Linked DNA regions of Macaca mulatta. The protein of the gene in region 5 interacts with the protein of the main gene of each other region in a biochemical or structural test. Links are inferred from orthologs where the notes say so. Each region holds a gene or a part of one and is shown on either strand. Other genes may lie near its edges.

Region 1 (4,116 bases), on a different chromosome or scaffold from region 5:
AGGAGAAAATATTTGTAAATCATATACTTGTATCTACAATATATAAATATCTCTTACAGTGGCTCATGCATGTAATCCCAGTGCTTTGGAAGCCAAGACAGGAGGATCTCTTGAGGCCAGGAGCTTGAGACCAGCCTCGGAAACATAGTGAGACCCCTACTAAAAATTAAAAAAAAAAATTAGCCGGGCGTGGTGTTGCATGCCTGTGGTCCTATCTACTCAGGAGGCTGAGATGGGAGGATTGCTTGAGCCCAGGAATTTGAGGTTACAGTCAGCTATGATCACACCATTGCACTCCAGCCTGAGTGGCAGAGTAAGATCCTATCTCTACAAAATTAAAAAAAAATTAAGCCAGGCATGGTGGCACACGCTTATAGTCCTAGCTACTTGGAAGGCTGAGGCAGGGGGATCACTTGAGGCCAGGACTTCTAGACTAGCCTGGGCAACATAGTGAGACCTTGTTGCTAAGACAAAAAAAAAATAGATTACATTAATAATAAAAGTAGGCAAAGAACTTGAATAGACATTCCTCCAAAGAAGATATACAAGTGGCCAATAAGCACATGAAAAGATGCTTAATGTCACTAGTAATTAGGGAAATAAAAATCAAAACGGCTGAGTACAGTGGCACATGCCTGTAAACCCAGCACTTTGGGAGGCCGAGGTGCGAGGATCATTTGAGCCCAGGAGTTCAAGACTAGCCTGGGCAACACGGTGAGACCCTATCTCTACAAACTAAAAAAAAAAAAAAAAGGGCCTGAGCCAGGTGTGGTGGCACACACTTTTGGTCCCAGCTGCTCAGGAGGCTGAGATGAGAGGATTGTTAGAGCCCAAGAGTTTGAGGCTGCAGTGAGCCTCGGCAACAGACTGAGACCCTGTCCAAAAAAAAAAAAAATCAGAACCACCATGAGATGCCACTTCACAGACACTAGGACGGATGACTAGAATCTAAAAGACAAATGTTGGCAAGGATGTGGAGAAACTGGAACCCTCAGACATTGCTGATGGGAATGTAAAATGGTGCAGCTGCTTTGCAAAACAATCTGGCAGTTCCTCAGAAAGTTAAACATGGAATTACCATATGATCTAGCAATTCTACTCGTAGGTACACACTCAAGAGAAATGAAAAACATATGTCTACACAAAAACTTGCACATGAATGTCCAGAACAGTATTACCCGTAATAGCCAGAAAGCCCAAATGTCCATCAACTGATGAATGGATAAATAAAATATGGTATATCCATATGATAGAATATTATTTGGCAAGAAAAAAAGAATGAAATATTGATCCATGCTACAACATGAGTGAATCTTGAAAACATTATGCTAAGTGAAAGAAGTCAGCCGCAAAAGAGTACACTTGAATGATTTCATTTCTATTAAATGCCCAGAATAGGCAAATCTATAGAAACAGAAACTAGATTAGTTGCCGCCTAGGTCTAGGGGAGGGAAGTTTAGGGGGAAGTGGGGAGTAACTGTAATGGGTAAAGTTTCTTTGTAGGGTAATGAAAATGTTCTAAATTTGACTGTGGTGACGATTGTACAACTCTGTGACTCTACTAAAAACCACCGAATTGTATACTTTAAATAGATAAATTGTATGCTATGTGAATTTTATCTCAGTAAAGCTGTGATACACATTTTTCAAATAAACTACACTGGGGGCCACTGTTCACCTATCAGCTCGGCAAATTGCACTTATGCAATTTATCCCCAAATTTGGTAACATCCTATGCTGGTGAGAGTGAGGAGAACAGAGGGTGTGGGGACACCAGCGCAATCTCTCTGAAGGACAATTTGGCAATACCTATCACAATTACACACCCACTGACCCTGCAGTGTGGAATTAATCCTAAAAGAACACACAAACACAAGGCATATGATTGAGGATATTCATTTGTGGAATTGCCTAGAACAAGCAAAAGACTGGAAACAACCAAAATATCTGTCCTTAGTTAAGTACAGTGTGACCACCGTACATGCAGTGGAATACTACGCAACCATGAACAAGAAAAATGCAGCACAAATAAATGACCTCTGAGGTACACTGTCAAGAGAAAAAAGTCAGTTGAGGACAGGGTAGACTGTGTGCTATCATTTATCTAAAAAAGAGAAAAAAATTTCCGGCTGGGGGTGATGGCTCACACCTATAATCCCAGTACTTTGGGAGGCTAAGACAGGAGGACTGCTTGAGCCCAGACATTCAAGACCAGCCTAGGCAACATAGTGAGACTCTGCTTCTACAAAAAAATAAATAATTAGCTGGGTGTGGTGCATTTCCCTGCAGTCCCAGCTCCTTGGGACGCTGAGGTGGGAGGATCGTTTGAGCCCAGGAGTTCGAGGCCTCAGTAAGCATGATTGTGACACTGCACTACAGCCTGGGCAACAGAGTAAGACCCTAAGAAAAAAACAAAATTCTTTGCAAATGTGTAATATTGAGTCAAGTGCGGAAGCTAAAAATATCAACACCTGGCATTCCCATCATTATTGAAATTCACATTATGCTAAAAAAATTGTTAATATACATGCTTATATATGCCTGGATCTCCCTGGAAGGATACACCAGAAATTTTTTCAAGTGGTTGACTCTGGCAAGGAGACCTGGGTGTGAGAGAGACTTACTTTTCCCTGTCGTGTGTGTGTGTATGTGTGTGTGTGTGTGTGTGTGTGTGTGTGTGTGATGTTTTTTCTTTCCTTTTTAAAGAAAAAACACAAACTTACCTGGTTTCAAATCCTGGCTCTGTCTCTCATAGCTGGCCAAGTTGCTTCACTTCTCTGAGCCTCTGTTCTCTGTTCTGTAAAGGGAGGGATAATAGGATTAATATCCACCTTGCAAGGCTGGTGTGGAAGATGAAATAAGACAGCACAAGCTCAGGGCCCCCCCCCCGCTGCCTGGCTCCTAGTAAGTGCACAGTCCCTGTTTGCCATTCATCTGTAACTATGGACACTGCAGTGCACTGTAACAGGGACCACCAGAGAGCCTCAGAGCAAGTGTTCCAAGGACCAGCATCCCCTCTGGCTGGGAGAAACTGGGAAAGGCTTCCTGGGGGAGGCAGCATTTGCGAAGGGCTTCGAGGACAAGAAGGATTTCCACAAGTAGAGATGAATGGGGGCCACATTCTTGGCAAAGGGGGCCACACAAGCAAAAGGCCAGGAGTGGGAAAGCCCTGGACAGTCACTCAATGGTGCACTGCCAGGCTCCTCCAACAAGGCTTAGCTGAGCACCTACTGATGCCATAGTGGGAAAGACAGTCAAAAGCCATGTAGCTGGGCTGGCCGAGGGAGGAACTACAGAAAGTATCGTGACAGGGATAACGAGGGGCCAGGTCCACAGGCTCATAGAGCAGGCCGGGAAATGGAGGCTCAGAAAGGGAGAGGGGCCATCCAAGATCACACAGCAGGTTCCCAATTTCTGAACATAGCCTCTCTCAGCTTCACCCTCTCCTTGTCCTCTAGACCTGGAGAAGAGAAAGTCCAGAGGGGTCCTCCGGCCATGCCCTCATCAGGGGGTGGACACAGAGGCCAAATAAACCAGGGGCCCCACAAGGAGGAGGGATGGTTGATCCTCAGAGGATAACAACAGCTACAGCGTCACCATCACGGTGTTGCTGGGTGGCGCGCACCATGCTTAGGAACTCAGTGAACCACCCCAGCCCTCTGTGGCGGGCCCTGATTTGCAGATGAGGAAACTGAAGCACAGAGAGGTGGAGCTGCTTGCCTGATGTCACACAGCTCATAAGACACAGCACTGGGAGGCAAACCCAGACTATCTGGGTTCCACCGTCTCGTACCCCAGAGCCCATTCCTTAAAGGAGGCCCCAGCAGGGCATCCTATCAGTGATCACATCCGCTCAGAAGGGCCCAGGGTGGAAGCTGTTCTCAGCCAGTCCTGGAATGCCTCCTGATAACAGTGCCCCAGTGGCGGGGGAAAGGTGGGAGGCGGGCCAGGGAAGAGCAGCAGTGGGTGTAGTGTCAGGCCTGTGCGGGGATGAAGGGGGAAGGCGGCGGGCAGGGACTTGGCCCTTTGGCAGCCATCCTCTCTCTGACGGGAGAGCAGAAGGGCTTGTCAGGCACCTGCCCAAGCCAGGTGGGGGCATCATGGTTAAGGGGACCC
Region 2 (4,064 bases), on a different chromosome or scaffold from region 5:
GAGACCAGCCTGGCCAACATGGTAGAACCCCGTCTCTACTAAAAAAATACAAAAATTAGCCAGGAGTGGTGGTTGGCCCCTTTAAATCCCAGCTACTTGGGAGGCTGAGGGAGGAGAATCACTTGAACCCGGGAGGTGGAGGTTGCAGTGAGCTGAATGCCACTGCACTCCAGCCTGGACGACAGAGCGAGACTTCATCTCAAAAAAAAAAAGTTCAAAACTAAGGAAAACCAAACAATATATTGTGTAGGCATGCAGATATGAGTAATTTTTTTTTTTTTAATACAGAATTCTGGCCCAGGCGTGGTGGCTCATGCCTGTAATTCCACTTTGGGAGGCTGAGGTGTGAGTATCGCTTGAGCCCAGGAGTTTGAGACCAGCCTGGGCAACACAGCAAGACCCATCTCTAGTTATAATTAATTAATTAATTTAAGAAAATACAGAATTCTGGCCCAGCGTGGTGACTCATTCCTGTAATCCCAGCACTTTGTGAGGCCAAGGTGGAAGGAAAGTTGAGCTCAGGAGTTCAAGGACAGCCTAGACAACAAGGTTAAACCACTTCTCTACAAAAAAATACAAAAACTTAGCCAGGCATGGTGGTGTGCTCCCATAGTCCCAGCTATGCAGGAGGCTGAAGTGGGAGGATTGCTTGATCCTAGGTGGTAGAGGCTGCAGTGAGCCAAGACTGTGCCACTACACTCCAGCCTGGGCGACAGAGCGCGAGCCTGTCTCAAAAAATAAATACATACAATACAATACAATACAACGCAGAATTCTGCACGGTGGTGGTCCCTTAAGTTTTGCAATGGGTACACGGGTGTTTATGGTATTAATTTAAAAGTTATAAATATACATGAATTTTAAGAAGAGGATCCATGCAAGGTTTAATGATAATTGTATGTCATCCATTCGCTCAACTGAAGTCGGCCTTCCCCGCCCCCTGCCAAAAGTAAACACTTTTCTAATCAGGGCCAGCCACTGGAGAAACTGAAATGAGTGGGCGGGGTGCTAACTCTATTTTCACTTTTCTCTTCCTGTTTCTTCAGAGCCTGGGAAACAAGTCAGAATTTCCAGTCTTTTCCAATTCCCACATGATTTCCTAATTCAAGACGAATTCAGAGAAAATAAGTCTTTCTCCATCTGGAGAAGACTCCGCCCCCTGGAGCATCCTCCTTCGGGGATGAGGCCTGAGGTGGGGCTGCGCCAGCCCCAGCCCCCACAAGGACGCGCCTTGGGCTTGGTCTTGGGGGAGCTACCCGCACTGTGGGGTCACATGACAGAATTAGTGGTCAGCCCTAGCTGGAGGTCCAGGGCAAACACAGGCGGGGGCAGTGGGGTTGGGGGTTGTGGCCCTGCTGATTCGAGTGTCCCCTGTGGGTTCCGGACCTTCTGAGATACAAGCGCCAGGCTTCAGAGACGAAGCTCCGGGGTTTACCCCTGGGGACCCCCTGCTCCTGCAGCCGCTGAGGGCCGGCAGTTTGGCTGCATAGTAAGCTGGCGCTTTAGCTGGAGAGGGACGAGCTCTCGGCCAGCTCGCCAGCGGGAGGGCCTCAAGTTGTCCCATCCGGGCTGCAGGCTCCGCAAAGCTCCCTGATGCACTGTCAGAGGGGGAGGTCCGGCCGCTCCCCTTCCCCTACAGCCGCATCTAGAGTGGGGTAGGTTGGACATTTTAACGTGCTTCTGAGACAGTCACCACCGAAAGGCACCTTTAGCGATGAGGAAACCGGCGTGGAGTTCAACCACCCGGCCTCTGCGGAGCAGAAGGCCCGACTGGGCCTTTCCCTGCGCGGGGCGGGCGGCCGCAGCCCCGTAGCCCGGGCTTTGCTCCAGACCCGGCCCAGAGTGACATCACCAAACTCCGCCGATCGGTGGGAGGGGGCCCTGAAATCCCCTAAAAACAAAGTGAGTAATCGGCGGACCCGCCCTCCAGGCGGGGCCGGGACCCGGGAGCTAGCCGAACCACCGGGCACACCAGCCTCTTCGTCTCCGGCGACGCGCGCACTTGGCCCCGGCCCCCGGCAGCGGCTGTGCGCGCGGCCTCTTCGTCCTCCGCGCGGCGCGCACTTGCTCCCGGCCCCTTCGCCGGGCGGCGGCGGGGCAGCGCGCAGGCGCGGCCGGATTCCGGGCAGTGACGCGACGGCGGGCGCGCGCGGCGCATTTCCGCCTCTGGCGAATGGCTCGGCTGTAGTGCACGCCGCGGGCCCAGCTGCGACCCCGGCCCCGCCCCCGGGACCCCGGCCATGGACGGTGAGGTCGCCCTCTGACCCCGCGGGGTGGCCGCGCCGGGACCGCCCCGGCTGTGGCGGGAGGCCCCGCGCCGCTTTCCGCCCCTTCCTGCGCCGACTGGCGCTGCGCAGGGAGCGGTCGGCCTGCCGGATGGTGGCGCGGGGCGGGGCAGGCGGGGAGGGGTCTGACTCAGTTTCCCCTCTGGGTGGAGGGGGGCCCTTGACTCAGCATCCTCCCTGGGTGGGGGAGCAGAGGGAGCCTTGACTCAGTTTCCCTCCACACCGTCCATGGGGGCAGCTCTGGCTTCGTTTCCCTATTAGGGGAGAACGCATCTGATTCAGTTTCCTCTCTGGATGGAGGTGGGGCGTGCCCTCCCTCAGTTTTCCTTATGAAAGTACAACAGGCCCTGATTCGGCTTCCCTCGGGAGAAGGATTCCTTACCCCGTTTTCCCTCAAGAAGCAGGTGTTTCTGGTTCCTTTCCTCCACTCCTTAGTTTCACCGCAGGTTCTAGGAAGCAGGTCCTTACTCAGTTCCCCTGGGAGGGAGCCTGGCTTCTCTTCTCTGTGGAGAGCAGATACTCCCTTGTGAGGATGGGCAGTGGGTGTGTGCTGACCCTGATCTCCCTCCCCTTTCAGAACTGTTCCCCCTCATCTTCCCGGCAGGTAAGTGGCCCCCGCAGCAGTCCGGGAGGTGTTCCCTGGGGTAGGGCAGCGGGGGCAGCTGTCTAATGGGCCTGCGGTGTCCCCTGGCAGAGCCAGCCCAGGCCTCTGGCCCTTATGTGGAGATCATTGAGCAGCCCAAGCAGCGGGGCATGCGCTTCCGCTACAAGTGCGAGGGGCGCTCCGCGGGCAGCATCCCAGGCGAGAGGAGCACAGATACCACCAAGACCCACCCCACCATCAAGGTCAGCACTGCACCAGGGTGTGCGGGGAAGGGACTGTGGAACCCCAGCCCTCTGTGTTTGGGAGTCAGGTTTGGATGTCTGGGCCTCTGTACTTTGGACAGATCAATGGCTACACAGGACCAGGGACAGTACGCATCTCCCTAGTCACCAAGGACCCTCCTCACCGGCCTCACCCCCACGAGCTTGTAGGAAAGGACTGCCGGGATGGCTTCTATGAGGCTGAGCTCTGCCCGGACCGCTGCATCCACAGGTGAGCTCCCTGCAGGCTAGGAGGCCCAGCATGAGGGAACAGGAGGCGGGCTATGAAGTAGCCGCTACAGTGTTACTCCTTTCTGGACACAGGGCAGAGTTGCTTACTTCTTGCTCTGACTCAGCTCTGCAAGTAAACTCTCTTTGTCTTGAAATGATCTATTTGTACCTCTACTCTAGCACAGATAAGAGCTCCAAGGGATATGGATGGGTCCCTAATCACTTCTGAATCCCTGACCCCTGTAGCTGGAAGGACAAGTCCCTTGGAGTCATGTCTCTTGTTTGAGAAAGAAAACCACTGAACCAACACTCTCCCCTGGAGGTGACATTGCAGTTGACAGAAACAGGCCTTAAAAAAATATACAGGCCAGGCATAGTGGCTCATGCTTATAATTCTAGCACTTCCGGAGGCCAAGGCAGGAAGATCTCTTGAGCCTGGGAGTTCAAGACTAACCAAGGCAACATAGTGAGACCCTATCTCTACAAAAAAATAAGAAATTAGCTGGGTATGGTGACTTGTGCCTATAGTCCCAGCTACTTGGGAGGCTGATGTGGGAGGATCACCTGAGCCCAGGAGGTCACCGCTATGGCAAGCTATGATTACACCACGACACTTGGGTAGCAGAGCGACACCTTGTCGTGTTTTTTTTTTTTTTTTGAGACGGAGTCTTGCTCTGTCCCCAG
Region 3 (3,984 bases), on a different chromosome or scaffold from region 5:
AGGGTAGCTGGGACTACAGGCACATGCCACCATGCCCGGCTAATTTTTGTATTTTTAGTAGAGACAGGATTTTGCCATGTTGGCCAGGCTGGTCTTGAACTCCTGACCTCAAATGATCCCCCTTCCTCGGCCTCCCAAAGTGCTGGGATTACAGGCATGAGCCACCATGCCCAGCTGGCAACTATCTTTTATTATAACTCTGTGAGTTCTTCTCAGCAGAACTGGACTTTCAGGAGTGGTAGGAATCAGGCAGGGAAAGGCCGGGCGCGGTGGCTCAAGCCTGTAATCCCAGCACTTTGGGAGGCCGAGACGGGCGGATCACGAGGTCAGGAGATCGAGACCATCCTGGCTAACACGGTGAAACCCCGTCTCTACTAAAAAAAAGTACAAAAACTAGCCGGGCGAGGTGGCGGGCGCCTGTAGTCCCAGCTACTCGGGAGGCTGAGGCAGGAGAATGGCGTAAACCCGGGAGGTGGAGCTTGCAGTGAGCTGAGATCCGGCCACTGCACTCCAGCCTGGGCGACAGAGCAGACTCCGTCTCAAAAAAAAAAAAAAAAAAAAAAAGGAATCAGGCAGGGGATAGGGATTCTGAAGGACCTTATTCCTGCAGGGGGCCCAGAACTGAAACCAGAGGAAGGGGGCCTCCGAGACTGGACAGCGGGCAAAGTCCTCCCAGCCCCCCCAGGGTCCTGGCTCCCTTCCCTGTAGCCTGCTCCTGGCCGACAACAGAAGCAGGGCCCCAAGGTTAGGCAAACAAGCTAGTGATAAGGCACTTCCAGGTCGGGCCTTGCATTCAAGGCCCACCCAGCTCTGGGGCTGACTTCCTGGCTTAGCGAAAGCGCTAGTCTTTTGTGCACACAAGAGCAGGCACCAATGGGGACACCTGCTGATTGTGCACCTGGGGCCTTGGTGCCCTGGTACAACCTGGGTTAATGACCTTGTTTATCCACTTGAGTCATCCGATAAGGGGCAGCTGAGTGAGCGGCAGGTGGCCCTGTGCCCTGCACCGGCCACTTCATTGACTGAAGTGATATCAGTGCCACGTGGGGTTCCCAATGCCCCCTCCCCCACCACTTCCCCACCATTCCTGCCAGGGGCAGTGTCTGTGTGTTTTTTTCAATGAACATGACTTCTGGAGTCAAGGTTGTCGGGCCATTCCCCCCCTTCCACTCACTGGGAATATAAATAGCACCCACGGCGCAGAACAGAGGGCCAGAGAGCTGGAAGTAAGGGCAGATCCCAACCATGAGCACCAGCCAACCAGGGGCCTGCCCATGCCAGGGAGCTGCAAGCCGCCCAGCCATTCTCTACGCACTTCTGAGCTCCAGCCTCAGGGCTGTCCCCCGACCCCGTAGCCGCTGCCTATGTAGGCAGCACCGGCCCGTCCAGCTATGTGCACCTCATCGCACCTGCCGGGAGGCCTTGGATGTTCTGGCCAAGACAGTGGCCTTCCTCAGGAACCTGCCATCCTTCTGGCAGCTGCCTCCCCAGGACCAGCGGCGGCTGCTGCAGGGTTGCTGGGGCCCCCTCTTCCTGCTTGGGTTGGCCCAAGATGCTGTGACCTTTGAAGTGGCTGAGGCCCCGGTGCCCAGCATACTCAAGAAGATTCTACTGGAGGAGCCCAGCAGCAGTGGAGGCAGTGGCCAGCCGCCAGACAGACCCCAGCCCTCCCTGGCTGCAGTGCAGTGGCTTCAGTGCTGTCTGGAGTCCTTCTGGGGCCTGGAGCTGAGCCCCAAGGAATATGCCTGCCTGAAAGGGACCATCCTCTTCAACCCTGGTGAGCTCCCAGACACTCCTGGGTAGGGGGCAAGGCTGAAGCAGGAGCCAGCCAGGGAAGGTAACTTCTAAGGGTTTGATATCTGTAATCTCATGGGGTCCACATTTTCTTTTTTTTTTTTTTTCTGAGACAGAGTCTCACTCTGTCACCTACTCTGGAGCGCAATGGCGCGATCTTGGCTCACTGCAACCTCTGCCTCCTGGGTTCAAGCAATTTTCCCTGCCTCAGCCTCCCAAGTAGCTGGGATTACAGGTGCCCGCCACCACTCCCGGCTAATTTTTGTATTTTTTAGTAGAGACGGGGTTTCGCCATGTTGGTCAAGCTGGTCTTGAACTCCTGATCCCTCTGGTGATCCACCCACCTTGGCCTCCCAAAGTGCTGGATTACAGGCGTGAGCCACTGTGCTTGGCCGGTTCCTCATTTTCATCAAATAGCCATCTCACAGAAGAGGTACAGAGAAGCTAAGTGACGAGCTAAAGGTAACACAGCCAGGTAGGGACAGACCAGGATGGCAACTCAGGTCTATTCACTCCAGAGACTGGCCCTTGCCACTCTGCCTGAGAAATTTGCTCTGACCTTTAGAGAAGGCTGCGGGGGAGGTGGGGTGGGCAGACACAGCTGTGTCTCAGTCACATCTTCAAAGGAAGGCTGCATGGTGAAGCTCTAGAGCTGAAACTCCTCTGTGGGTTCAGAAAGATCACTTAGAAGAGAGAACTGAAAGGGGTGTAGGGAGGACAGGAAGGGAGTCTTTGTGGAATTTGGCCAGGAGAGTGGCAGATGAGACAGTGCTCTTTGTAATCTGGAGAGCATCTGAGATGAGCGTTCCCCAGGAGTCCCTGTGGCACGCATAAATCGTAGTAGTTAATTGCAATAATAGTAGCAAATACTCATATCACACTTACCATATGTTAGGCCCTATTCTAAGGGTTTTACATATACTAGTTCATTTAAATCTCATAAAAACCTAGGAGACAGGTCCTATTAATATTATTATCCTCGTTTTACAAATAAAGAAACTGAAGCCCAGAGATTAAGTTACTTGCCCAAGGTCACCCAGCTAAGTGACAGTACTGGGATTCATACTCAGGAAACCTGATTCTTAACCATTACTCCATACTGCCTCTTCATAAATGGATGGATGAATACAATGGAAATTGATAAATAAATTACCTCCTCCAAAGGAGGAGGTAGTAGTGGGACCTCAAAGGCCGAGCAAAGGAGGCAGAGGGGTGTCTCTGATGGCCCAGATCTTGGGCCAGTCTCTTCCTTTGGTGGCTGGGAGTAGGATGCTCACCAACCCTCTTCTCCCTCTCTGCCCACAGATGTGCCAGGCCTCCAAGCCGCCTCCCACATTGGGCACCTGCAGCAGGAGGCTCACTGGGCGCTGTGTGAAGTCCTGGAGCCCTGGTGCCCAGCAGCCCAAGGCCGCCTGGCCCGTGTCCTCCTCACAGCCTCCACCCTCAAGTCCATTCCGACCAGCCTGCTTGGGGACCTCTTTTTTCGCCCTATCATTGGAGATGTTGACATCGCTGGCCTTCTTGGGGACATGCTCTTGCTGAGGTGACCAGCTGCAGCCCAGGCAGAGATCAGGTGGGCAGAGGCTGGCAGTGCTGATTCAGCCTGGCCATCCCCAGAGGTGACCCAATGCTCCCGGAGGGGGCAAGGCTGTATAGACAGCACTTGGCTCCTTAGGAACAGCCCTTCACTCAGCCACACCCCACATTGGACTTCCTTGGTTTGGACACAGTGCTCCAGCTGCCTGGAAGGCTCTTGGTGGTCCCCACAGCCTCTGGGCCAAGACTCCTGTCCCTTGTTGGGATGGGAATGAAAGCTTAAGCTGCTCATTGGACCAGAAGTCCTACTGACTTTATACAGAACTGAATTAAGTTATTGATTTTTGTAATAAAAGGTATGAAACACTTGGAGCCTGATACTGTTGTTTGTGCATATAGAAGGGACTGTCTCACCTCCAGGGCCCACCCTGCTCCTATCAGAGGTAGCCCAAGGGAAAAAATCCACAGGGTTGCTGGAACTAATTTTCCAGGGAACAGTATCAGTTCACAATCCCATCACCTCATTGCCTTTATCCTCAGGGGAAGGAGGTTGCTCTCCTGTTCCCAAACCCTTCACTAACCACTCTCCTGGCTCCTACCCACTTCATGCGCCCTCTCACCACAGTTAAAGCCCAATCACAGCCAATCAGGAAG
Region 4 (3,688 bases), on a different chromosome or scaffold from region 5:
CCAACTACACTTACTAAAAGCATCTGCCCTGACTCGGGCTCAGCAGGACCAAGACCTGAACCCCTCCTCCTACAGTCACAGGCCTGCCTATCTAGTCCCCAAACACAGGGCAGGGGTCACAGACCTCCCAGCCCTTCCAAACCCAAGCCTGACACTCGGGACCAGTCAGAGGTCCCGGAATCTCTTCTCAAGCAGGGTTCCCAGCCACCGGTCCCGGCGCCCAGGAGCTCTGAGTTAGCCTGAAAGCCTGACCCATTACTCTTCTCCCCTTTCCCCCAGGGCTGGAACCCCATCTCCAAGCAGACCCTGTGGGTGGGGGGAGGGTGTAGCAGAGGAGGCAGAAAAACCAGCTGCAACACCCCCACCAACCACCAAAACCTCCAAAAATAACAGCAGCCCCCCACACACAACCCACTACACACCAGAAACGCAAAAACAAAATCCTACAAATCCAAAATAAAGCAAAAAAAAACAAAAGCCAATTACTGCCCCCAAAAGGCTTTGTAACCATTCTCAAAAAAAAGTTTATTAAAAGTGTTCTTACTTAATGCTTGAAACGGAAGATTCCCAAAATATACAGACGCCTCTTTTCTCATAGAAATAGATTATTTTTTATAATACAAAAAAAAAGACCAAAAAACAAAACAAAACAAAACATCAACAGCAACAAGCCCGTAGGAACATCTTTAAGCGATTACTCAGGGCCCGGCTGACAGTTACACGTGGGTTGCGTCAGTCCCGTGTACACACGCGTTCAGCCATGTTTAAACCGATTGCATCAACTTCGAAACCGGCCCGCCCGCCGGCGCCTGGAGAGGGGCAGAGGGAGAGGCAGAGAGTTTATCATTCATCTGTACACATAGACGTTTCTTCTTTAAATAACACCACGGGCGGGCGCCCCATCTGCATGTGCGGTTGGTTTGGACAAAAATATAGATATATATATATAATAAAATATTAAAATTACCGACGGGCTCCCCGCGCTGCCAAGTGCCCCAGTGCCAAAGTTTTGCCGGCGCCGCCGGGGGCGGAGGCGGGGGCGCGGGCGCGGGCGCTTCCCGGAGTCTCGGCCCCGGCCGGCAGGGGGACGCGCGCGGGGGCCGCGCTAGCAGTGGCCGGAGGAGGCGAGCAGGGGCTCGGGCAGCTGCTTGAACAAGTTCCGCAGGGTGCTGAGCTCGCGCGACAGCTGCTCCACCTTCTTCTGCAGCCGCTCGTTCTCGGCCGTGAGCTCCAGGACCTTGTGCTGCGTCTCCAGGTTGCGCATCTTGGCCTTGTCGCGGCTCTTGCGCACGGCGATGTTGTTGCGCTCGCGCCGGATCTTGTACTCGTCGCTGTGCTTGTCCACTGTCTTCTTGGCCTTGCTCTTGACCTGCGAGGGCGGCGGCGCGGCCCCCGCGTAGCAGGCGGCCGGGGGCGCCTTGGCGTCGGCGGGGCTCGGCGTGCCGGGCGGGCTGGACGACGAGGACGTGGAGAGGCTCCCGCTGCTGCCGCTCGGCACCGCCTGGTAGCCGAGGTAAGCGCGCAGCGCGTACGGGAAGCCCGCCGCCATGCCTGCGCCGCCGCCCGGCGCCCCGGCCTCCTCCTTCCGCTTGCAGTCCGCGGGCTCGAAGCCCGGCTCCGCCTTGAGCTCGGCGGGCGGCGGCGGCGGCGGGGGTGGCGGGTGCAGGGGCGCGAAGCAGCCGGGGTGCAGCGCGCCCTTGGCGGCCCCCAGGCGCCCCAGGCTCACGTAGCCGTACTCGGCCGGCTTCTTGCAGTTCTTGCCCCCGTAGTCGTCGGAGAAGAGGTCGGAGAGGAAGTCGTGGTGCTGCCCGGAGGAGGCGGGCGCGGGGGCGGGCGCGGGCGGAGCCGCCTCGAAGGTGTCCGTGGCCGTGGCGGGCGCCGGGGCCTGCGGCGCGCCCAGCGGCTCCAGGTACGGGCTGAAGTCGATGGCGCGCTCGTGGTCGCCGATGCTGCCCAGCTCGCCGGCTGGGGGGCGCGGCCCGGGTCTGGCCGCGGGGGGCGCCGCGGGGGCCGCCTTGCCGCCGTACGCAGCAGCCAAGCAGTCCGCCTCGTAGTAGAAGTTGGCCACTTCCATGGATTTAAAGGCAGGCGGCGGCGGCAGGGGGAGACATGCTGGGTCCCAGGCCACCAGGCGTTGCATGAACGCGGGTGCCCGGGGAGGGGGCCTGGGGCTGCCCGCTCCGGCCGGCCCGCAGGTGGCGCGGCCTCCCTGCTCTGAGCTGTCGCCGCTGCGTCGCTGCTGCTGCCGCCGCTGCCGGGGTGGCCGCTATTAGTGCGGGGGCTGGTGGCTGAACCCTCGGGTGGGTCCCCTTCCCAGTCCCGTGCGCGGCTCTGACTCGCTAAAGTTTCTCCTGAGCCCGGTTATTTATAAGGGCGGCCCGTAGCAACCGCTGCGTCACACCGGCCCCTCCCGCCGCGCCGCCGGGACGCGAAGGACACGGCCGCGGCCGCCCGAGACCCCCAGGAGGACGGCGGCAGGGCGCAGCGGAGGGACCGGGCACCCGGAGCGCGTTTTCGGGGGGGGTCCCCGGGCCGCAGGGGGCGGCCTCACGCCCCCTGCCCACCCCCGCCCGGCCGCCCCGGGATTGGGAGCGAGAGGGGGCGGTGCGACCCCGCCCCCAGACCGCCCCTCTGGGCTGGAGGCTGTCCTGGAAGGCGGGGGAATCGGAGGAGGGGGCGACCTGATCGCCTTCCCCCGGAGATGCGGCCCCGGCCCGCCCCCTGCTGGAGGAGGCGGAGGTTTCAGGAGGACCGAGCAGAGCCCCGACGGCGGACCAGGGGCCGCTCCCCGGGCGGAACCCTGGAGACCCCAGCCCGCAACTCTAGCTCCAGGAGAAGCGACCCATCTCCGTAGCCCTTCCCCCTAAACTCCCACCTCTTCCACAGGTCCCCGGCTCTAGAAAGGAGTAGACTCCACGCCTGTGACGATTCCCCTCTTAAGCCACCGCCAATATGAGGACCCCGGGGGTCGGGGGGACGGAGCAGGATCGCGCTGCGCTGGGGGCTGGACCCTGGTCCACGGTGTCCCGCCCCTAGCCCCGCCCACCGCACCTGCCGCCTGCTTGCGGCTTGTACACACCCGGGTCTTCTCTTGCCCCGCGCCGCGCCATCCGACCTGGGCCCTGCCACACTGTGCGACCTTGGATGAGTCACTTCTCCCAGCTGCAGTCCATGAAGGGTGTCGCTACTGTCAGCGGTGGTGGCATTGCTCCCACCAGACTCCCAAACCTAAGGCTTACGTTGTGGGCTGCACATCAGAGAGAAAGGGACCCCCATGGATTGTGCCAGTGGAGGCCCAGAGGGAGCATGGCATGGCATACCAAGGTCACATGGCCGCATGTCCCCCATTCATCCCAAACGAAATGCCCTCATCTGGGCCCTAAGACCTATTGCCAGCCCCAGAGGCCAAAAAGCTTCTGTTTCTGAAGCTGCTGGGGAGGGGCTTAAGCCAGGCCTCACGGGAGGGGGGTGGCATGCAGGAAACAGAGAAGGAAAGAGAAAGAGAAGTTTTTACCAAGTCCCTGCCCTGTGCTCAGGGTGGGCCTGGACCCCGAGGTTCTTTTTCACCCCACCAGGAAGATGCTTTTGCTGCTGCCGTTTCACAGATGGGAAAGTGACAACGGCCTGCCTGGACTTGAACACAGACCCAAGGCCCTCTAACTACCGGCCCGCCTCTGCTCCCTAGGCT
Region 5 (3,500 bases):
CGGCCGCGCTCGTTCCACAGTGGCTGCGAGGCGCAGACCCCGGCGGACCCGCACGCCACTCCGGGGCATTCTCCCCGGGTGGGACAGGCTCGCCACTGGGCTGGCGGGAGATTATTTTTAAGCACTCGTGCTTCCATATGGCTTGTTTTAAACTCGCGGGACACCTACAAATTTCCGGCTGTCAGAAGTCACATGCCAGCAATCCGCTCCAGCGCGGACTCAGCCAGCTAACTCCGAAATCAGACCCATTCAACTCCCAATCGCTCTCTAAAGCCCCAGGACGTGGGGTGGGGAGGAGGGGAAAGAGGGTGACAGGAATCGCTTCCCAGAAAGTCATCATCATAGCCGACATATTTCCAATCAAATAGTCTAGATGAAAGGAAATTTGGGGAGCACATTAAACAAAAACATTGAAAGGATAAATAAAATTCTGCCGAGCTCCGCTAACTCCAAACACCCCCAACTTTAAATGCCAAGAGCGGGACCTTCTCGAGTGACTCAAAGCGCTTCGTGTTTATTTGCCTGGAGGTGTTTCCTCCCGCAAATAACTGCTGCTTTGTCTGGTTTTCCAACGTGTGTTTAGTTAGGAAGCCCCGGGCTTTCGGGTCTGCCTGTCGCACGGACCCTAAGTGGGTGGAGAGCACGTTTTTCTCAGCTGCCCGGCGAGAGAACTTGACTCTGAACGCAACGCGGGCTGCACGCAGAACCCCCGGGCTGGGCCGCGCGCACCGAGCTCCCTGCGCGCACCCTCGGGTCGCGCGTCCCGCGGCTCCCGCTGCTCCCTCGGCTCCCCCTTCTCCCTCCCTCCCTTCCTCCCTTCCTCCCTCTCGCCGGGCGCGGCGGCCACCCCGACGGGCGGCGCGGGCGCGGGTACCTGTAGAATGCCGGAGGGCCGGCCTCGCGCACCGTGTAGCCGCTGGGCTCGTTCTCCAGGTAGTAGGGCACCTGCTGGCCGTGGGGCTGCAGGAAAGGCGACAGCTGCGGCGGCGGGTGCAGCAGCATCAGCGGGCTCGGAGACACGCTGTTGAGTGGGGGGAAACCCCCCAGGCCGTTGGAGCCGAACGCCGCAGCCTCAGACCCGGGGCCGTACGGGAGGCCAGTCTGGCCGTAGACCTGCGCGTTGGCGGCGGCCGCGGCGTTGAACTCGTAGGCGGCGCCCTCGGGGTAGTTGTACACGGCGGGCTTGCTGCTGTCCACGTACACCTCGCCCAGGGGCCGCTCCAGGGGGATCTTGAGCTGCGGACGGTTCAGGGGCTCCAGCTCGTTCCCTTGGATCTGATGCAGTAGGGCCATCCCGGATGCTTTGGTGTGGAGGGTCATGGTCATGGTCCGTGGCCGTGGGCAGGGCGCAGACCGTGTCCCCGCAGGGCAGAAGGCTCAGAAGCCGGCGGGCCACCTGGAAAAAGAGCACAGCCCGAGGTTAGAGGCGACGCAGCGCATGTCCCGCCGAGACGCGAGCTCTGGCCCCGGCCCTGACCCGGGAGCCTGCGGGTCCGGTGAAGCCTGGCGACCCGACGGGAGCAAGTGCAGTCCCGGGACGAACGCCCTCCGCCAGCTCCCGGGCTCCCGGGCCTCCAACTTTAAGTACTGGTCTCCCGAGCTCATATGCATTACAAAGGTGCTGGAGGAAGGCCAGGGACTGTTGCCTTGCCCTGACATTGGCTTAAACATCACTCCAGGCACAACTCGATTTGGAGCGATCCCAAAGAGCAGCTTCCCTGAACTTTACTTTACTTGTCGTCGCTGCTGGATAGAGGCTGAGTTTCACGGCCAGGGGGCGGGGGCGCACGAGGATCTGCTAAAGGTGGCCCAGGGAAGAACCGGCTTAAAATAAACGCGAAAGACGAATCCAGGGGCCGGCTTTCTCTAATGTGCTGCCTTATGTGCCCCGTGCCAGACTCCAATATATCTCTGTTTATCTCTCTTTCTGTTTGATTCCCCCTCCTCGTTGGCTAGAAATACGTAGTGTGTACATAGGATGACCCTGGGGAGGACTACACTGTAACCGAGATAGGGCAGATAGAATGGGGTGTGTGGTTGCATACGCAGCCAGCCACAGACAGCTATATTTAGCAGCTGGGGGAACTGACAGGGGGCATCTGAGGGGAAGGGGGGCGGAGATTCAGGGTATACATATAGGAAGAGCTGCATTTTGCCATCAGGAGAATGCAAACTGCCAGGACCTCAGTTTCTTCCTCTGCAAAATGCTCCCAAAGTGGACCCCTTCCACAACCTTCTGAGATTCTCTCAGCTGGACTTGTGTGTTTATGTTGGACCACAGTACTGTACTTGGTCCCATTAGGAATTCTCATGTGAAGGATGATTCAGAAAAACCTTTGGTTAGGGCGCACATGGGTGTTCATGCCTTCCACAGGTTAGTTATGCAACCAAAACTTCAGAAAACTGAATATAAAATGTGACCTTTTCATACCCAACATAACCTCAGGTCATAAACCAAAGCTTTGGCAATTATGTGACATTGTCGGTCTGGTTCAGCTAACAGATTTTTAAAATGCATTTCTGCATGTCTATTCTTTAGTCCTACAACTCGATCTTCTCGGTTCACTTGGGCTAGGATATGCAGAATCAAATATCCAGATGAAAAACAAATAGAAAAAAGTTTTTAACTGAATTAAAAGTTAAGCATGCACACACACATACGCACACACACACACATACATATACATATTAAGGACACAAAAAATACGGAAAGTATGTCATGCATCTATAATCTTGGAGAGTTTATACTTTTTAATAAACTTCCTTTGCTGCAGCCTAATAGACTCTGGTACAACTATCAATACTTTATTTTAATTGCTATCCCAAACACCCAACAGAGTACCTGACAAAGTGTTCATGGTATATCTAAATGCCAAGCTTACTGTTACTAATAGTTACATTTTTGAATATTTTATATCAAGTATACATTTTATCTAATTCCTACAAAAACAGACCATTGTCGGACAATATACAGATTAGCTGATTTAATATGAAGCCAAAATCGAGTTTAGCATTAATGACTATAGATTGTCAGCAACTAAAGGGTTAAAAACACATTAGGTACATCACAGATATTTCCCTTTATGGCCAGCAATCATTACTTTCCAAAGCAATTTTTCACAGATGATTTAGTTTCCATAAATCACACTTTCAATTTTCAAATGCCTTTTTAAAACACACGCAAAAAGCACTTCATAGGGCTCTTAAAAAATCTGAACCTGCCAAATTATATGCAAATGGCACAAAGAATCCTACAAGTCATGAAAGAAAAAGGAGACACACACGTACCCCCATGGAGAACAGCAATCCTCATCTCCCTGCTAGGATACAGACACTAGCCAGAAAGGTAAGTTGCTTTCTCAAAATGCTAAAGCTACAGAGAGAGAAATCAAAACAAGCCTACCCTGCTGGATCAAGAACGTCTTTCCAGAAATGTTCCATGGGCTTGTAGAAGTCAAGGGCCGAGACAGTGAGAAGGAAGGAAGGAATGTGCTCGCATG
Region 6 (3,500 bases), on a different chromosome or scaffold from region 5:
GGAGCATCACAATCATATTCAACTTCTGGTTTAGATAAGTCTCGGCAGAAAGTACAAATCCACTCTCCACTGTAGGGGGACAATGTACTTTTGAATTTCTAATGCATCATTTCCTCTCTTCACTATTTCCCTTTCCCACCTCCTCCATGACATCTATGATACAGAATTGTTTATTTGGCATGAATTTTATCACTCAGCATTTACCACATACCACTAGGTATACTGTACCATGCTGAGAGGAAACAGCAGAAATATAATGCAAGGGCCTAACATCAAAATCTAGTTAAGAAGGTGTGAGATACATATATGAAAAAACAACAACAAAAAAAACCACCTAGACAAATTAACACATTAATCTAGGGCTCACATATCTAGGGCATAATTGAATTTTTTTCCTCCAAAGGATTCAGAAATCAGAAAAGCTCTTTGTACTGTTCTTGTTACTCTAAGTTTATAAAATTAAATTTTCAAAAGTATAGCCTTCCAAGAACTGAGAGATCAACCCAATGGCTCTTAACCATCTTGGTCAGGATGATGATCATCATCCCCATAGGGTTTGAGAATTTACTTGAAATACTTGTAAATGATACAGTTTGATGCCTGGAAAAAAGACATAATAAACTGGTAGCTGTTATGCCTAAGGACATTGTTCCTTATGGTGACACCTTGTGATAATTTAAAGGGCCTATTATTTATTTTCTTTTTATAATGACTAGGGAGAGGGTCTTGCTCTGTTGCCCAGTCTGGAGTGCAGTGGTGCAATCACAGCTTACTGCAGCCTTGACCTCTCAGGCTCAACCAATCCTCCCACCTTAGCCACCTGAGTGGCTGGGACTATAGGCATGCACTACCACACCTGGCTAATTTTTTAATTTGTAGAGACAGGGTCTCCCTGTGTTGCTCAGGCTGAATGATTAATTTCTTGAAAGAAGCACAAGGAATAAGCGGAAAGGTATGGGAAAACCTAGACTATTCACTGGGATTTTGGAGTATACATTTGTGCCAAGTAGAATTTCATTTAAGTAATCTTCAAAAGTTTAGAGTAAAAGAATGTGGGAAGGGAAGTACTATCTTACCTTGGAAAATTTGTCAATGTAGGCACGTGACAAGAAAGATGGAATACTTTGGGGCACTTTTCACAGCAGAGGAGTTCCCCTCCGTTTTGACAAACTGCACACCAGTCCTCATTGGGGTCATCCTCTTTCCTTGTCTCTCCAACATGAAGGGGTGACTTCTGGGAAGGATCCAGCCACTCAGACTTTCCATTTGAGGAATTCTCCTGGTGAAGTCCAGGTTGATCTCCTGTACTATCAGGGGCATCTGATCTTAGCACAGTCTCCTCAGAAGTAGAGCTCTGACTGCTATTTAAGAGCAGGGAGGTGAGTATGCTTCTTGGATAATTGGCCTGTAGTAGAAAAAATATATATTTAACTGGTGTTTAAAAAATTTTATCACTAATGCAATTCTGAGCTGTAGGACCACTCTCTAGTGAGCACCTGGCTGCTTCAAAGGAATCTTCATGAGAACAGTATATGTTTACTGCTAACTGGTATAGAAGACATGGACCTCTACTGAAAAATATCAAAATAGAGAAAACAAATCTGAGTCTGGGGATGGCTACAGAAATTCGAGAATGGGTTGGGTAGTGTGGAAGTCAGTCACATGACCTATATATACACCTCACTGGAGCTGTTCATTCAAATTATACCTAAGATACACAAATTGTAAGATGAATCTAAACTTTCTGTTGAAGCCCAGGATGGTAAAAATTTCAAATCTATAACAAGAACAGTCTCCTTCAAATGTTTTCAAAAACTTCAAGGTAATAAACGTAGATATAGTTAAAAGCACTCATTCCTTAGAAGTACTATTTTCAAACCTAGCTTTTTCTTCTGCCATCTACCTCCATATTTCTAAATAAAATGACTGTTAAAGATTGCAATACATCTATAATCCTTGCTAGTGAAGATCAGGAGATTAGGTTTTTACATCCTGACTCTCCAACCCTGTCCTTCCATTCAGACACACAAAACCACCATTCACCTCATCCCTTTAACTTAGTTTTTATTAAGCATTGCTTTTTTTAGTTGGTAGGTACCGGTGTAACTATTTATTGCCAGTATCTATTCCAACTGACTAGTATTTGTCTGTACTGGTTAAGTATTCTGAAAATCACAATTTTTGGTTAAATGCATACATATTTAGTTTATATCCTGATTGCGTCACAGTTTTTCGTTACATTTGTACTCAGGTGTTTCTTTATATCATTATTATGTAAATATTGTTCACTGTAGACCCACAAAATGTACTATGACATTTCTTTTTGTACAACTTTTTGTTTTTACTAAGACTCTGTAATTACCTTATTTTTTCAGGTACCTATTTCTATGTGATTCTCACAATCTCCAGCAGGAGATTCTCAATACTGTTGAAGCATTTTTCTCCCTTTGGAGTCCTATGTCTTCCTGCTAGAGACTACTGCACAAGCTGCTGCTGCTGTACTGTGGGTTGCCTTTTTCTTCTGTGTCAGATTCCATTTTTGGAATCCTGTATCTTCTTCTTTCTTGTTTTACTATATTTTTGATGATACATATTATCAAATATCTTCCTGAGAATAAGTACTTAAGAATTATTTTGAGAACTTGCACAAAAATGTTTAATCTTCATGTCTGATAATTTGCCTGGGTATAAAACTCTGGTTAGAGAATATCTCTTTTTAGCTGCCCAGTCTCCATATTTGAGCCTCTGATTTTTTAAAACTTTCCTGTTTTTCCATCTTTGACTTTTTGTTTAATTTACTGAGAGATTCCCTCAAATTGTCTTTAAATCCCTTTAAATATAACATTAAAGAAAAAACTCCTAAGAGCTATTTAAGAGTTTCTCTCACCCTACCCACCATGCATAGGAATAATATTGCAAGTATTCATAATTACATTTTGAGGCCTAGATTCTTCATCTGACTCTTGCTTCACTATAACAACAGGGAAATCATAATTTTCTGGTGGTCCACTGTTTTCTTGTTTTATTCGAATTGGCTCCAACATGACCACTGGGACTTTGTGTGTAGAGTCAGCTCCTGCTGGTTTGCTGGAAGAGCCAGAGCTGTAAGTATGAGAGAGAAGAAAAAGCAATCTAAGAATGTGAAGCTGAATACCTCATAAAAAGTATAACAACAACTTTCTAAAATAATACTGTATCCTCACAACAGTAAGTATGTTACATCGGCAATTAATGATGCCTAACGAAACTGCTATATGCAAGTTTCATTTATGATAAAAATGTTTTACATATTAACCTATCTAAATAGTTATATATCTGGAAAGATGTTTCAATAAACCGAAACTTTTAAAAACCTGAGGCTTTACAATTAGGCAACCAGATTTAGTATCTTAGAACTGGCATCTGATTTTAGACTTTCTCATTTCCTTCTCCAGTCAGTAGCAAAGTAATACTTTGGTGAAGACAATGAAATAATCATTTATTTAAACAATGCTATTTAA
Region 7 (3,500 bases), on a different chromosome or scaffold from region 5:
GTCTCAAACTCCTGACCCCAAGTGATCTGCCCGCCAAGGCCTCCCAAAGTGCTGGGATGAAAGGTATAAGCCACCGCGCCTGCCCAAATCTGCAATTTTTCAATTTAATCTCTAAGTTTTAAAGCTCAAACTGTTTGAAAAAGATTCTTTAAATATATGTAAAATTTATGTGTTACACTAAATAATATACTAAATAAAGAGAAGGACTGTGTCCCCTTGTCATACCCCTCTACGTACCTTCAGACCTCAGGATACAACATGAAACATAATGGTCAAAGTCAGAGCTAAATAAAATCTTTACACTCCTGCTACGTTAGGTCCTATCACAGGAATGCAAAACAGGATAAGAAAGTCCCTAATGAAAAACAGATTACACTCTACTTGTGGAGAAAACAGTAAGAGATAAAGCAAAAGAGAGTAATAGAAATGACCCAGAAATAATATAATACTACAGTACAGCTCTAATGATTCTGCCTAAATCAAATCTCTACTTACTGGAGTTGCAGGCTGTGGAGCAAGCAGCGGTGCTGTTGGGGTAGGAACAGACGCTGCTGTGCTCTGCTGTGAGCGAGGCTGCTGCTGGGGCTGGTCAGCAGAAGGTGCAGCAGGAAGTGAAGGCTGTACTTGTTGGGGAAGTTGTGTTGTTGGTGGTGTAGGTGTCTGCCTTGGAGGGGGATGTAGAGCCTGGGACTGTGGTCCAGGTGGCATGGCAGGAGGTGTAGGAACAGGGGCTGGAATTGTTGTTGCTGGTGGCTGCTGAGCCCCTATGCTTGGGGGAGTATGGTGAGGGGTCGGGGTACGACTAGGTACAGGCGAGGGTGAATTCTGATGCAAAGCTGGTTGAGGAAGCTGGGGACAGTGAATGTGGCTCCCCTGAGACCCCGGAGGCATTATAGGAGAGTTCACCGGGCAGGAAGAACTAGACATTTGTGCCTGTTAAAATAAAAAACATAAGATAGCAATTCAAAACAGAATTAAAGAAATACTTACATGGCACGTTATATGAATTTAGGACACAAACTGGTTAAACAAAGAGTAGCAATGTGTCTATTTCAAAATGTGTAAAATACCCTGTTACTGGGGATATAGCTTTGGACAGCACCATTGATACAGTATTTAAGTAAACCGACTTCAAACCACTCAGCCGAATGGCCTCAGCCACTGCAGAAAAACGACAGAATTGAGAGCACAGTGCTCTAGGGCCTGCCTATGCTCTCTTCAGCCAGAATTCCTTCTACATTGTGTTTAATTCTAAGATTTATTTAAAAGTGTTCACTACTAAAAACAAAACCATCCATTTATATTATTTCCTAATTTGTAACAATTAACACCATTGCTATGTCACAGAATAATCTCTTAAGGTTCAGAACACCCTAAGTCTAAAACTGTTATTTTTTAAAAAAATCATCTGTTTTCACCCACTATCTGCTGCCACTCTTTCCTATAAAAACCTACGTCAAGAGAAATTTCAAGAATCAAAAAAAAGTAAAAAATCCACTTATGAGACATACTTGAGACACTGGAGCTTGACCACTGGACGGAGCCAAAGGCATATTTGTTACATTCATTCCCTGTGATGGGAACTGAGTCTGAGGAAGGAACTGGCTCTGGTTGGAAGGCTGTTGCATACGAGGCCCATAGCCCATAGGCTGCAAAAAAACACAGATCACCAAACTGCTTCATTACAGTTATTCTACTATAACTAAAATCATCAAAAGGTCCTAATGTCAGGTTTATTAAGCAAAGTCAAAGACAGGAGTATAGGTGAAGAGGGCTGGAGAGGAGAAGGAAGAAAGTTATAGAACAACTGACTCTTGTGCAGAAAAAGGGAAATAGCCTCACAGTTTACCTAGGTCTACTCTCAAGAAATAGTAAGAGGATGGAACAAACACACATTCTCTTGGTACACAAATATGTCTAGCACAAGGATAGCAGGTAACTTTCTTTGCATGCTCTGTTAAGTGAGGAGAGTTAATCACAATTTCATAAGCTCATGTCAGTGATGTAGTAATAACACAAATTCTAAGACCCATAATATGTAAAAACAAGTAAAATCTTACAAGTTGTGGCAGAATCTGGTAGCATTCATGGTCCACAAATGCTCTAGCAATGCTATATTTCATTTCTAAAATTACCCTACACAAATTCAGGCCTTAAAGAAAGAAATCTCCAAAGGCAAAAAACTTCATAAGACAAGAAGGGGCCCCAAAGGGGCCAAGATTCAGAGGCACCAGCTAACTCTAAAGGGCAGCAGGAGGGTCGGGGTCAAGGTAGAGAGATGAAGTGGTTAAGAGTTCACATAAGGAGCAGAAGCCTAGCCTCTCTTCTCCGAGCTCAAGAACCAGGCAAATGCACCATCAACCTTGCAAAAAGACAGTTCTCTGCCTGGAGAAGGGAAGACAGACATCAGGGAAGAGAGGTGACCATGAAAACGCATGCAGGCCACTAAACATGGACACTCCAGGGACAAGGGCCTGGCTGTTTTCGTTTTTTGGTCAGCTTTCTAGTAGAATTAAATACAGAAGAATTACAGAAGAACTAGGAGTTATGGTCTGTTTAAATAACTGTGAGCATTTATAAATTAGGAACAAACAGGATTTTCAAAATACCAGATAAAGGCCAAAATGATTACTAAAGACGTCAAACTAACCAGGTTGAGCGCTCCAGGCTGAGCCAACTGTCCATGGTGTTGAAGAGGAGCGGTTTGCCGGGGTACGATAGGGGGCTGGGCCATGCTCATCTGGCCAAATTGATTCAAACCTGTGAATATGTGCAAAATATTAGATCTGAACGCCTTTCTGAAACTGAAGAATAAAAGACAGAATTCTTATGTCTGATTCTACATCTTTTTTTGAAACAGAGTCTTGCTCTGTTGCCCAGGCTGGAGTGCAGTGGTGTCATCTCGGCTCACTGAACGCCTCCCGGGTTCACGCCATTCTTCTGCCTCAGCCTCCCGAGTAGCTGGGACTACAAGAGCCCACCACCACGCCTGGCTAATTTTTTATATTTTTAGTAGAGACAGGGTTTCATCGTGTTAGCCAGGATGGTCTCGATCTCCTGACCTCGTGATCCGCCCGCTTAGGCCTCCCAAAGTGCTGGGATACAGGTGTGAGCCACCGTGCCCGGCCCTGATTCTGTATTTTATCAGGACTAATAAACTGGCTTTCAACCTTGTAAGTATAAATAAATATGTCTCACAGCAGTTGTAAACAGACATTATTAACAGGATCTTCAAACCGAATTTTACAAATTTTACAATCTGCTTTTTTTTTTTTTTTGAGACGGAGTCTCGCTGTCACCCAGGCTGGGGTGCAGCAGCAAGATCTCGCTTCACTGCAAACTCCACCTTCTGGGTTTAAGTGATTCTCCAGCCTCAGCCTCCCGAGTAGATGGGATTACAGGCCTGTGCCACCACACTTGGCTAATTTTTGTATTTTTACTAGAAGGCAGGGTTTCGACACATTGGCCAGGATGGTCTCATACTTGACCTCAGGTGGTAC

The links.
Region 1: the proteins of ESR1 (region 5) and SRC form a complex in vitro, tested with the Homo sapiens proteins (3 studies listed by BioGRID). The link is inferred for Macaca mulatta from reciprocal best matches to the Homo sapiens genes ESR1 and SRC.
Region 2: the proteins of ESR1 (region 5) and RELA form a complex in vitro, tested with the Homo sapiens proteins (3 studies listed by BioGRID and IntAct). The link is inferred for Macaca mulatta from reciprocal best matches to the Homo sapiens genes ESR1 and RELA.
Region 3: the proteins of ESR1 (region 5) and NR0B2 form a complex in vitro, tested with the Homo sapiens proteins (2 studies listed by BioGRID). The link is inferred for Macaca mulatta from reciprocal best matches to the Homo sapiens genes ESR1 and NR0B2.
Region 4: the proteins of ESR1 (region 5) and CEBPB form a complex in vitro, tested with the Homo sapiens proteins (2 studies listed by BioGRID and IntAct). The link is inferred for Macaca mulatta from reciprocal best matches to the Homo sapiens genes ESR1 and CEBPB.
Region 6: the proteins of ESR1 (region 5) and TRIM24 form a complex in vitro, tested with the Homo sapiens proteins (4 studies listed by BioGRID). The link is inferred for Macaca mulatta from reciprocal best matches to the Homo sapiens genes ESR1 and TRIM24.
Region 7: the proteins of ESR1 (region 5) and EP300 form a complex in vitro, tested with the Homo sapiens proteins (10 studies listed by BioGRID, with this or other methods). The link is inferred for Macaca mulatta from reciprocal best matches to the Homo sapiens genes ESR1 and EP300.

The regions. Positions count from the first base shown.
Region 1 is NC_133415.1:90,224,013-90,228,128, reverse strand, and holds the start of SRC (proto-oncogene tyrosine-protein kinase Src), read right to left. Parts: upstream 2,801-4,116; 5' UTR 2,724-2,800; intron 1-2,723. UniProt on the Homo sapiens protein: Non-receptor protein tyrosine kinase which is activated following engagement of many different classes of cellular receptors including immune response receptors, integrins and other adhesion receptors, receptor protein tyrosine kinases, G protein-coupled receptors as well as cytokine receptors.
Region 2 is NC_133419.1:8,727,016-8,731,079, forward strand, and holds the start of RELA (transcription factor p65), read left to right. Parts: upstream 1-1,264; 5' UTR 1,265-1,593; coding exon 1,594-1,655; exon of another isoform or gene 1,656-1,902; intron 1,903-2,127; exon of another isoform or gene 2,128-2,240; coding exon of another isoform or gene 2,241-2,247; exon of another isoform or gene 2,248-2,273; intron 2,274-2,720; exon of another isoform or gene 2,721-2,862; coding exon of another isoform or gene 2,863-2,889; intron 2,890-2,947; coding exon 2,948-3,131; intron 3,132-3,199; coding exon of another isoform or gene 3,200-3,232; coding exon 3,233-3,381; intron 3,382-4,064. UniProt on the Homo sapiens protein: NF-kappa-B is a pleiotropic transcription factor present in almost all cell types and is the endpoint of a series of signal transduction events that are initiated by a vast array of stimuli related to many biological processes such as inflammation, immunity, differentiation, cell growth, tumorigenesis and apoptosis.
Region 3 is NC_133406.1:214,067,984-214,071,967, forward strand, and holds NR0B2 (nuclear receptor subfamily 0 group B member 2), read left to right. Parts: upstream 1-1,184; 5' UTR 1,185-1,245; coding exon 1,246-1,777; intron 1,778-3,099; coding exon 3,100-3,341; 3' UTR 3,342-3,697; downstream 3,698-3,984. UniProt on the Homo sapiens protein: Transcriptional regulator that acts as a negative regulator of receptor-dependent signaling pathways. Specifically inhibits transactivation of the nuclear receptor with which it interacts.
Region 4 is NC_133415.1:103,041,750-103,045,437, reverse strand, and holds CEBPB (CCAAT/enhancer-binding protein beta), read right to left. Parts: upstream 2,342-3,688; 5' UTR 2,141-2,341; coding exon 1,106-2,140; 3' UTR 501-1,105; downstream 1-500. UniProt on the Homo sapiens protein: Important transcription factor regulating the expression of genes involved in immune and inflammatory responses. Also plays a significant role in adipogenesis, as well as in the gluconeogenic pathway, liver regeneration, and hematopoiesis.
Region 5 is NC_133409.1:70,539,329-70,542,828, reverse strand, and holds part of ESR1 (estrogen receptor), read right to left. Parts: exon of another isoform or gene 3,404-3,500; intron 1,397-3,403; 5' UTR 1,327-1,396; coding exon 875-1,326; intron 1-874.
Region 6 is NC_133408.1:178,414,171-178,417,670, reverse strand, and holds part of TRIM24 (transcription intermediary factor 1-alpha), read right to left. Parts: intron 3,103-3,500; coding exon 2,934-3,102; intron 1,406-2,933; coding exon 1,077-1,405; intron 70-1,076; coding exon 1-69. UniProt on the Homo sapiens protein: Transcriptional coactivator that interacts with numerous nuclear receptors and coactivators and modulates the transcription of target genes.
Region 7 is NC_133415.1:10,366,240-10,369,739, forward strand, and holds part of EP300 (histone acetyltransferase p300), read right to left. Parts: intron 2,761-3,500; coding exon 2,651-2,760; intron 1,650-2,650; coding exon 1,512-1,649; intron 934-1,511; coding exon 496-933; intron 1-495. UniProt on the Homo sapiens protein: Functions as a histone acetyltransferase and regulates transcription via chromatin remodeling. Acetylates all four core histones in nucleosomes. Histone acetylation gives an epigenetic tag for transcriptional activation.